2 linked regions of the Arabidopsis thaliana genome follow. The protein of the gene in region 1 interacts with the protein of each later gene in a pairwise test. Each region holds a gene or a part of one and is shown on either strand. Other genes may lie near its edges.

What was found. Proteins that work in one complex are often made in the same cells at the same time.
Region 2: the proteins of AT5G58720 (region 1) and AT1G68140 interact in a two-hybrid assay, tested with the Arabidopsis thaliana proteins (one large-scale study listed by BioGRID).

What each region holds. Positions count from the first base shown.
Region 1 is NC_003076.8:23,719,132-23,725,040, forward strand, and holds AT5G58720 (smr (Small MutS Related) domain-containing protein), read right to left. Parts: upstream 4,045-5,909; 5' UTR 3,844-4,044; coding exon 3,204-3,843; intron 3,015-3,203; coding exon 2,989-3,014; intron 2,865-2,988; coding exon 2,778-2,864; intron 2,682-2,777; coding exon 2,611-2,681; intron 2,290-2,610; coding exon 2,063-2,289; intron 1,810-2,062; coding exon 1,733-1,809; intron 1,660-1,732; coding exon 1,603-1,659; intron 1,519-1,602; coding exon 1,451-1,518; intron 1,366-1,450; coding exon 1,259-1,365; coding exon of another isoform or gene 1,203-1,258; exon of another isoform or gene 1,139-1,202; coding exon 1,068-1,138; coding exon of another isoform or gene 978-1,067; exon of another isoform or gene 974-977; coding exon 845-973; 3' UTR 564-844; downstream 1-563. Other genes in the region: ROC7 (rotamase CYP 7), read left to right, coding at 1-54, 226-364; Mik (pfkB-like carbohydrate kinase family protein), read right to left, coding at 4,496-4,672, 5,309-5,909.
Region 2 is NC_003070.9:25,538,396-25,543,671, forward strand, and holds AT1G68140 (zinc finger/BTB domain protein, putative (DUF1644)), read right to left. Parts: upstream 3,429-5,276; 5' UTR 3,112-3,428; exon of another isoform or gene 2,399-3,111; intron 2,036-2,398; 5' UTR 2,020-2,035; coding exon 1,015-2,019; 3' UTR 529-1,014; downstream 1-528.

The DNA.
Region 1 (5,909 bases):
CGGTCAAGATACCAACGGATCACAGTTTTTCATCACAACTGTAACAACCAGCTGGTGAGTACAGAATCATCTGAATTTCAAACACATAAAGCCAGTTTCTTATCTTTTACTTTCAAGTTGTTTGACAATTGTGTGGGCAGGTTACTACTTTCTAAGCTTAAGAGTTTCAATTATGGATAGAATTGTCGATATGTTGTTTCCGTCTGCTGATTAGAAAGTTTGCAGGTTGGATGGGCGACATGTGGTATTCGGGAAGGTAGTGACAGGAATGGATGTGGTGTACAAAGTCGAAGCTGAAGGAAATCAGAGTGGAACTCCTAAGAGTAAAGTGGTGATTGTAGACAGTGGTGAGCTTCCCCTGTAACTCAACAACTCTAGTTTTCTCCATCTGATCATCCATTGATGTGAGCTCTAGTGTGCTTGATGACTTTTGTGTTAAAACGAGTGTCTTGGTTACTTTATGAAAGATTCTACCGGCTTTATTTCTTTCGTCTGCTTTCTAGCTCGAGCTATGTCTGACTTTATACACAAATGTCTTTCAGTAGCAAAAATTCTGCACTTATGCCGTTTTGCATTGTCAACATTTGTAGAATTTATAGAAGTTACACGATAATATATATATCAGTAAACTCCTAAAGAAGAGTTAGCGAAAAATATACATTCTGTCTGTGTCAGACAAAGTGTTTTCAGAACTTAAATAACGTGAAATACGGAAAGGAAAAAGAAGGAAGCTAAGTTTTGCCCAACATTTACTTAACAACAGAGAGCTAGCATCAGATATAGACAAAATCGACATAAATTTTAAGATCTAAAGCTAAAACCTGACTTTAGTTTTAGTTATCACTTATTCATCAGAGTCACTCTCTGTGTCTAAGAAACTGAACTCTCTACTACCTCCGTCAAGCTTGATCAGCAGTGTCCCTCTGTTCTCTTCACAATACCTAACTCCTTCTCTTTCTAGCAGCTTTACCACCTGATCATATCCATAAATAACAATCATATACCATGACTGCAATACTAAATTCTTGTCTCCGGTTTTGCTGTGAAAGGGCGTTGAAGAAACTTACTGATTGTTTCACCTTAGACTTCCCAAACCCAGAAGCTCCACATCCTGTGATCACTCGTAGAGTCTGAATGGCTGGATGATTTCACAATTGTTAGGAGGAAGGTATTATCTCGGGTTTTATGATGACAAGATCTGACTATGATGATCTACTAAAGAAGAAAAGACTTATAATTGAGTTTGCTAAGTACTCACAAGGAACATATGATCCAAATAAGAGATGTAGCTTCAGTAGCTTCATTGCTGGTTTAACATGCTGACCATGCAGATCAATGGTTACCACATTCTCTATACCTTTGTTTCTGCATAGTCATAAACAATGGCTTAGTCCACCACAAAATGTTTAAGCGCATCAGCATACTTTGATAATGCATCAAAACAGCTAACCTTGCAACGAATATATCTTGGCTTGCCCTCTCATCAGCCCGTTGAGCTTGTTTAGATGCCACTCTTCCCTAAAAGAAAAACAACACAAGTTTCTGTCATACTGTCAAACAAAATGCCATGATACCATGATATATGTAAACCGTGATATGCACCTTGTCAGAAAGGTAAGCCGCATGAGCCCTCCCTCCTTTCGAATATGCTTCGGCAGCCTTAAACCAATTAATAAATGCATTAGTTGAGGAGTCTACCAGAGCCAGATATATGGAAGCAAGTAAAACTAACTTTTTGATAGTAGGACTTCGTAACATTCCACTGGTCATTTGCACCTTTTCTAAGTTCATGATAACTGTCATCCTTCACTGCAACACACGTACTGATTGATTGGTAATGCAATTCATGAGTAAGAAAGATTGATTCAAGAGTTGCAACACAAACAAGCAGTCAAAACTTCAGATGTTTATGCCAATGACACCAAAGCAAAAATTGCCAAGTGTTTCATCAGGTAAAACAACATACATCAGAAGCTCGAAGCCGGCAAACTCATGGCAAATTGAGCATGCTATTTGCAGCTATATACGCAAATACTAAAATCAAGAAACCATAGTAAAGTACCAAACGTATTAGGGTGAGGCTCTTCCCCACTAGATGAAGAAGCATCAATGCCAAGTGACTGCATTTTCTTTGCCACATTCCTCCAACTCGTTGTCTTTGATTCATGTTTAGGATTCTGGCGAATGTTGAACAGAGACTCCAACACTTTTTGTGGAAGACCAAGCTCATCAATTCCTTGGGTAGTTGCAAAAGGATCTTGAGAACTCATGAGAGCTTTTGCGTAGTCCCTACCATTCAGACAAAGAAAAGAAAAAAAGGCCAGATATTTAGTTTTGACCTCGTCCACAATGTTGAAATTAAGAAATCATAATGTAAGTTTTGGCGGTCTCATGAGTAATTTAGATATCATGTGTTCATGAACTGAATCCTCCACCATGAAATAGTTCGTTTGTTGTTCTTTCATAGAAGAGGATAAGGACTAATTAAAAGATAAGGAGAGGTTGCAGAGAGCTCGTTATCTTGTAACTAACGTGTAAATCAACTCTGATAATTCCAAAATCAGTGAATTGCAATAACAAGATGAAAGCCTAAGAAGCAAATAGAAGTACCTTTGACTATAGTCTCCACCCCAGAAAAGTTCACAATCAGAAGTATCAGTATCAAAAGATGACTCTGCCAGCTGTTAAATAATGTCAGGAGATTGCACTTTATTTTATCGTGTAAGAAAACAAAATAAACAGATCTATGAAGATTAACAAAAAAAACAATCACTTACACTATCGCTGACTCCTATGCCGAAACATTTACCACTCAATGAATCATCAGTTGATGAAGAAGACATGTCAAGCAAGACATTCAAAGCCTAAGAAGAAAACGCTATTAAGCTTTAAAATAAATAGTCGGGCAAGTATCAGCATATTTCAGGAGCTTCCCTGTCAATATACTAAATACTTCCCCATGTAAGTTTGAAGACAATCTCTGCTTACCATGTCGACATCATAGCCACATTGACCTACAAAAAATAGATACTTCCATGTCAATTCATCGAACAATCTAGTCTCTCCTCATAACATTATTACGGCTATATTTCGAATATCGCGGACACATTAAAACGTAATCCTATAACTATTAAGGATCATACTTTTCTACTAACATCTTCTCCCATGGAAAAATTAACTGACTAAGAAGAAGAAATACTCACACAAAACATCTCTAACAACAGCCATGCTAAGCTCGCAATCATCTCCAAGCATTGAACTTAAGAACTGTTCAGCTTTCTCTCTATCCGCAGCTTTTTTCCCGTTCCCACAGAGCTCTTTAGACCGTTCCATCATAGGAAACTCTTTTCGCACAGGGTTTGGCTTCAAGTAATCCTTCGCAATCACAGAAGAAACCATCCCTGTAGCAGCAATAACTCTACTCTGCTTGCTTCCCTTAAACCATCTATCTCTAGTCAAATCTTCGCTACAGCTAGAACTTGACCCTGCCCCATACTCAGAGGTAGACGCTGTTTCCTGACCCGAAGAACCACTCGCCACCGAACTCGTCGACGGATCATCACCGCTTTCCACCAGATCCGATAAAATCTCAGCGGCTTTGTTCAGATCTCCGCCTGCTTCCTTATAAGCAGCCATCGCTTCCTCCATTGAAACCGAGCAAAAGGCTTCCATTAACGATTCGATAAAATTTTTTCCAACGTTTTCTATCTCCCTCTTTCCTTCACCGTCCTTCCTCTCTTCCTCCACATCTTTTTTGTTCCCGTCCGACGTCGTTCCATCACCGGAAGGTTTCGCGGCGCAGGATCGCTTCTTCTTCTTCTTATGCTGGTTCTTCTGCTTCATTATCGTACAATTATAGATGAAATCGTGTCAACGCCGCTTCAATAGAATCTCTTCCGATCTGCAGAAGAAACTTAAACCCAGATTTCCGACGAGAAGCGTCGGAGAGAGGGAAGAGGCGTTTTAACCGTAAATCAGGAGTTAGTAATGGAGATGCCAATATCAGAGGAAATTTTTTGCTCGTCCAGACTTTTGATTGGGAATCGGAATCGCCACGTCAATCCACGCGCCTGATCGTGACCACGTTTTAAATCCACGCGCACGAATCAAACACCGAACACGGTTTCCTCCTGATTGTACATATATTGAACCGGTTCAACTATGCACCAGTCAAAATTAGATCTCCCACGTTGACTTTCGTAATTTTATCTCAGATTTGTTTTTGGTTTTTATATTAACTAGATAATGTGGCAACATGCGAATAGCAAATCATCTTATCCAAAACTTTTAAAACAAAATTTGACATCTTCATTTCGAATTTTGAAACGCGGAGTTGATAAACAAACTTTGCGGGAACGACCAGAAAGAGCGTTTGAAGACGCTGGTCAACGCGTTTTATACATTAAAATTTCCAAAATTCATCAACGTGTTGAAGCAAGCTTACACAACTCAGAAGAGCTTTGTTAGTAAAAAAAAGGTGATTCAAGATTCGTATTCACAGGGACCGATCATCACAAGAGTGACCATTGACCAATAACTTTGGTTGAAGTTGAGAGTCTACGCATGAAAACCGAGCTGGACTTAGACGCTCATGGAACTCGTTGTGATCGTTGTTATGGCTGCTAGATATGTTACACTGCTTCTTCCTTCTCTGTACCTCATCCTTGACTTTCTGCAAATCACAAAGACATATGTCACATAGAAATAACCGATGAAAGGGATGAATCCTTGTGCAGTGCAAACACAAACGCTATAAATCTTCTAATTTGCTTAATGTTCACTTGCACTAGCCAATGGTTCAATTATTATCCAATAACGCCCTCATTTCAACAGATACAACTACAAGAGATACACAGAAACACTCGCAAATACATCAAGAGATCCATACTTTTGAATTCTCTAATTGCTTAACCACATTGTTCGGTGAATGCTTAAACAACACTTTTTCCTGCATCTACCCTATGTTGAATGAAACTGCTCCTAGATTAACAATGAAGTAAAACAAGAAAAGACTCTCTCAGCAGCTGTGACTCGACAGAATCTCAAACAACAACTGTGAAGATTTGACACATTTTCAGATTGGAAACCTATCAACATCAAATACAGATTCTAGTTCACCCGCAAGATATAGGTTTGGCTGTATTGAAAGTAAGCTGCAAGATGTAACAGAGTTCTTTTGCTAGGATTATGTTAAAGACATTTGCATATCACTATCATCGGCTCTAAAAGTTCTTACTACTGTCTATTAGATTTGCAAATCTCTCACAGCATGCAATTCAGTAAGCTAATACGAGACCAAAAAACAAACCTGAAGCATCATCAAATCGAACTTTGGCTGACCAATATGCTCTACAGTGATGGAACCAAAGAGGTTCCCTAACAATGCAGCATCAGGAACAGTCAAACCTTCAACAAGCCCAACAATCAAACCTCCGAGAAAGCTGTCTCCGGCACCGGTAGGATCCACCTGCTTCGCCAAGAACGGAGGAACCGTCATTTCATCATCCTTATGATAAATCCTACACCCTTTTTCACCATTAGTCACCACCACACAACACAAGTGCTTCATTTGTTCAACATCCATGAAAAGAGCTTCGTCTGACGAAGCTTTCAAGAATCCAATTCGATGCAAGATGTGATAAAATCCACTTTCTTTCAAATCAACAAGCTTCACAGCTCCGTCAACAGGATCAAAAACCCTAATCAAAGCTTGAATATCCACAGCAACAACGTCACAGATCTCCACCATTTTCTCAAGCGTCTCCGGTAAAATCTCGCCGCCGACTCCAACGGCCATTCCGAAATCAAATCTCGAATCGGGTATATCCGAAGGAAGAATCGGATCACATGCAGAGACTCTTTTCAACACCCGATCAGCATGACCGATCCCATCGATTCCCAGATCGAAA
Region 2 (5,276 bases), on another chromosome or scaffold:
TTGTCCAATTCCAAACCCAAATCTCTTTAATATTTTTTGTCAATTTGTTCACAATTACAGTCTATATATTCCTCCATTTATTGATTCTGTAATTTTGCCCAAAAAATGGGGACACGACAAAACTCGATAGCGACGAGTAAAAAAGAGTGAAAGGATAGAAGGAAGGTATCGTAAGAGTAAAAGGCCCCCACCATTTTGTTTATCGACATTTCCATCAAAATCAAAACTAATTACATAAAATCGATTATCGGTGAGGTATATTTTCCAAAACTCTAAGCGAACTGAATAAAAACCTCCGAATGCTTAACTTAAATAGTACACTAACACTTAAATAAGATCATGTTATTAACAAAAGTCAAAAACCAAACACATGTTTAATGTTGAGTGTTGTTGGTCGTAGAAGCTACCACATCGATACGAGGCAACTCTCGAAACCGAAAAACAAAACCAAACATATTTCATCTATGTTGGTGTATTTTCCAAAACTCTAAGCAGTAAACTAACTTTAGAAAAAAAACGAATGTTTAAGCTTAAATCATACACTTACACCAAAATAAAATCATGTTATTAAGAGAAACATACACATAACACTTGTGAGTGTGTGTGGTCTAAGTCTCTTAGAAGACTCTACAACGATTCATAGGTAAGTCTCTAAGCGCACATGGAATCTATAAACACAAGGAAACACAATTTCATAATTCGCTAAAAGACTTCATTGGTCATCATCACTGATCATGCTTATTCACAAGGATAGATATTTGTGAATTTTCCACCCAGAAAGTTACATCAGAATACAGTAAATAAAACATGAGATTGCAAGCCTGCTTCTCTAGCATATGAAAGAATTTCGAGTCAAATTCCCAAATTCTCCAATGGTGATAGCAGAAAGGCCAAAAGCCTTTTTTTGTTTTGTTTTAAACTTGTCGAAACTACATTTGTACCTAACCATACCATAAAGCTTACCTGAAACCCAAAATCAGACAGGGTTTTCTTTTGAATTCGTGTGATTCTCTCTCATCTAGGAGGAGGACCTGTGTTCTGGTTAGCTTCTCTATCTCTACGTCTCCTACCTGAACGTCCCAGCAGAACGCGTCCTTGTCGCCTCATTCGACTTGCCAAAGAGTTACTGTTACTATGCCTCTCCTCCTCCTCCTCTTCCTCTTCTTCTTCAGAGAAATTCAGCTCACTTGTTCCTCGGTTGATTGTTGTCGAGTCATTCGAATCTGAATCAGAGCGTCTGATCTGATTACCTGATGCCCCAAAAGCATGTAACAGAAGGAAAACATTCACAAGATTCCTACCAAATGCAGCATCGATCCCATCATCATCACCACCCTCGTCTGAATCTGAACCGTTGGCATTGTTCCTTTCAATTACGTAATCACCATACACCACTGTACCAGGCATTGTCGACCTAATCGTGCTCATAACATCGTCCCGGTCATGCTCGATCTCAAGCCTTCTCCAATTCTGCTCCACATCAGGATCCACTTCACGCGGCTTCGCACTAGGGTGGTCCACTTTCATGTGTTTCCTCAGCTCTTTGAAGGTTCCAGCATAAACACAGTTCTCCTGCATACAGATCCTCTTCTTAAGATTCAAAAAGTCACGAGCAGGCTGTACGATTGTCCAACCTTTCACCTGTCCTCTACAAAGTGGGCATGTGAGATTTCCAAGCTCAGACTTATTGATCTGTTGATGGCCCGATGTCTTCAGCTTAGCTGACGCTTTCTTGTACTGATCTAAGCAATTAGAATACCGGAAACTGGTTCCACACATGTAAGGACGACATCCCTTGTCATGAGATGAGCAGAGAAGAAGGACAGCGTTGTGTGGACACTCCATGCAAACCGAACATATAACATTCTCCCAATCCCTCTTCTCTAGACACTTTGAACAATCTTCCGCAAACATGTTTCTCGCCACAAGTCTTTTAGAAGATGGAAATTTGTATGGTTTTGCTCTTGCCCTGAAGCGTCGTGAAGGAACCCTACGTCCTGCCTTCCTAGCTTTGGCCATAATCTCAAAATCACACCTGTACAAATCCTCATCAAATTAGCAAAAGAACTCCACATAAAAGTTTGTAACAATACAAGTAGATATCTCTTCATGGAAACTACATATATTTTTCCAGTTCACCATTCAGCATACAACATGATTAGTAGTAGCATCCCACACTCTGATTTGGGAACTATTTCATGATAATGCTTTACATATGCATCTATAAAAGATATTTCACAACCTCATAGCAAACAAAGAGGGAGGTTCGAATAAACATGTTGAATTCATACATCCCTGGAATTGCATGATCAACAAACAATGCTAATCTATGAAACTTAAATCAAATCAAGGAACTCATACCGAAACGAAAAGAGATCAAACAAACGAAGTAATGTACCTCACTAGCTTGGAAGCCTAGAAAAGTGATTCAAACTCACAAGATAACTAACACAATGACAAAACCAAATCGACAAGTTATGGAAAGCAAACAGATGGAGAATCAATGTATAGAGATACCAAGAATAAAAACTGGTGAGACAAAGTCTCGCATCAAATCAAATACAGTTAATAAGATTACATAAAAGAAAATAAAAAAATAACAAAAGATGTGCAGACATGTTACAAGACAACCAAAAGGAACATGCTTCACAGAACAACTCACGCGACATGACAGTGAATCAATTATTAAACAAACAAAGGAGAAACCTTAGAATCTAATCTAATCCACATGGAACAAAGACCTTTGACACATCTCAGATCCATAGAAATTTATATAAAAATGTTAGCATAAATGTATAAGAAAGAACGAAATGCTCTCGATAACCCTAGAATTCAAAAACATAAGAATACACAGATGGATTCTGACAAGTTCAATTATACAATTCAACAAATTTTCAATGACTCATGAACCTAACCAGAAATCGGAAAAGTCATAGCTACACAAAATTCAGTTTTTCCAGCGGCGCACAAGTTCGAATTACATCAATATCTCGATAATCTAACACGGACCCACTAAAATCCGTAAGAAAAAAACACTAACCCAGATCGCAAATTAGACGAATAAGAGTAGAAACGAAGACAGAGAAGACGAACACGCAATAAAGACTTCACCTTTAGGGATTGAAATGAAAAAGATTAGGGTTTCAAGACACAGCGTAAGAAGACGAATAGGCTTGAATCGAGGGAGGGAGCGAGACCGAGAGAGGTAAGGTATTCAAAGGAAGAGAGGGAAGGAGGAAGACGAGTGGGACTGCGAGATTCGCGTGGAAGCGTCTCCACTGCTCCACCAAGCTCTGGTATCGGAGTTTCTCTTTCCTTCACGTCAAGTAAAACGTCCACGCGTCCTTACAATACGTAAGACTGACGCGCGTGCTTATTGTTTTAAAGGCCCTCTAAAAGTCCCTAATGGGCCTGGCCACGAATTAGACATATACTTATCCATAGTTAAAATTTGATATTGGACAGATCAATATATGGAGGATTTCAATTAAAGGTTGACTTAGTGACACAAAGAGATACAAAGAGACAATGGGAAATGCATTTGACCTTTTCTTAATTGTAATTATAAAATTTGAACGAGAGATATGGCTGCGGCGCCGCTTGCTCTCTTGTCCCACGTCTCCTCTGTCAAATGTTTTAGTTTTCCACTATATTACTATATGCTATATTTTTCTATATCTAAAATCAGCAAAAAGTTCTTTTTTGGTAAGATAAGTAAAACAAAACACATGCATATTCTTTTGACACATGCTTTCCCGTGTAAAGACGGATCATCATATTGTTGTGTTGAAATGTTAATCCAAAGTCCATAAGCTTGATTTGTTGTTGAAATGTTAATCTTAAGTCTATAAACTTTTTGGTACTCTAATAATATAGTAACTCCTCATATTGATAGTCATTCGATGATACTGCAACATTGTGTGTTTTGACTATAGATTTTATACAATTGTGAAACATTCATTATCCAATTTGATTTCTACGGATTAACCTCTTTTTTTTGTATCCGTAATCAACTCTGAATAAAATGGATACTTATAAAAAAAAAGTACTGTACGAAAAGTATATGTGGATAATCTTACATGATTTGCAAGTAACCTTATATTGTATGCTAATTCGATTTAAGATAACGATTTTATATAGGATTAGATCTACTAATGTAAATACTCTTAATAGATAGACAATTTCAAACGGTTGTCTCGGTAATAATATTAGTACAGAGCTGATAATTTTGTTGATAAAGTTTTTGGCAAGAAAGAAATTAAGTTAATAAAAGGACAGTTAGTATGAAAATAATAAAAATTAAAAGTCTTCTAGTTGACTATTTTTAGATCCGATCCCGAGGCAAGTATCTTGTTCTCGGTATTTTTGGTACGAATTATTAATTGCTAATTTGAATTTCACGTTAGTGATTATAATAAAAATAAATAAGATATCACATATAGACATCTTCTTAAAAGCACACTAACTAAAAGAAAAAAGAAAAAAAGAGACATGTCAAGTTTCTTTTATTTTTGTGTACATGTCAAGTTTGTAAACCATAGTTTATTGCTTAAATAAATCACATAACGCTTAAAAGAATCCAAAATCCGGACTTCACATATGTCACACATATTCTATCAACATAACCTGTATGTACATCGAAATCATAGAAAGAATATTTTAGGTTAGCTAGTAGCCTAGTACTAATGGGATAAATGAAATTAGTTATCCTTCTCTTAAAGATGAATCCTTGAGATCAAGAAATTTTGTGAGATTGTTCAACCAAACTAACAATAAAACTTATATTATTTGATACAATCTAAATATAGAATCAGTTAATTCTTTCTTTTTTCTTTCTCATATATATTTATGATCTCATAACACCAATTTGACTTTAAGAAGATATCTATTGAAATTTTCAAAACAACTTTAATAGGAAAATTCAAAATATATAGACAGCGCCATATTCTAGAATATTCTTACTCATTATGAATTTTTGAATGTTTTGATTTATAGACCTATCTATGATGTTGAATTGAGTAAATAAAAAGTTTAATGGTGCGTTTGATCTCACCCATCTTTTTCTTTATTCAGTATTCAATCTTTATAACTCTACCTTATTCGAAGAGATGAATTCATCTAGCTATAAACACATCAGTGACAAGTTTAAAAAAAATATCTACACGTTCGATGGTCTTCTGTATTTCACATGGTACCATCCATGTGAATGTGATGGGAAATTTCGCAGACCCTAATGCCGGCCATAAACTGGATTTACAAAACTAAACAATGTAATA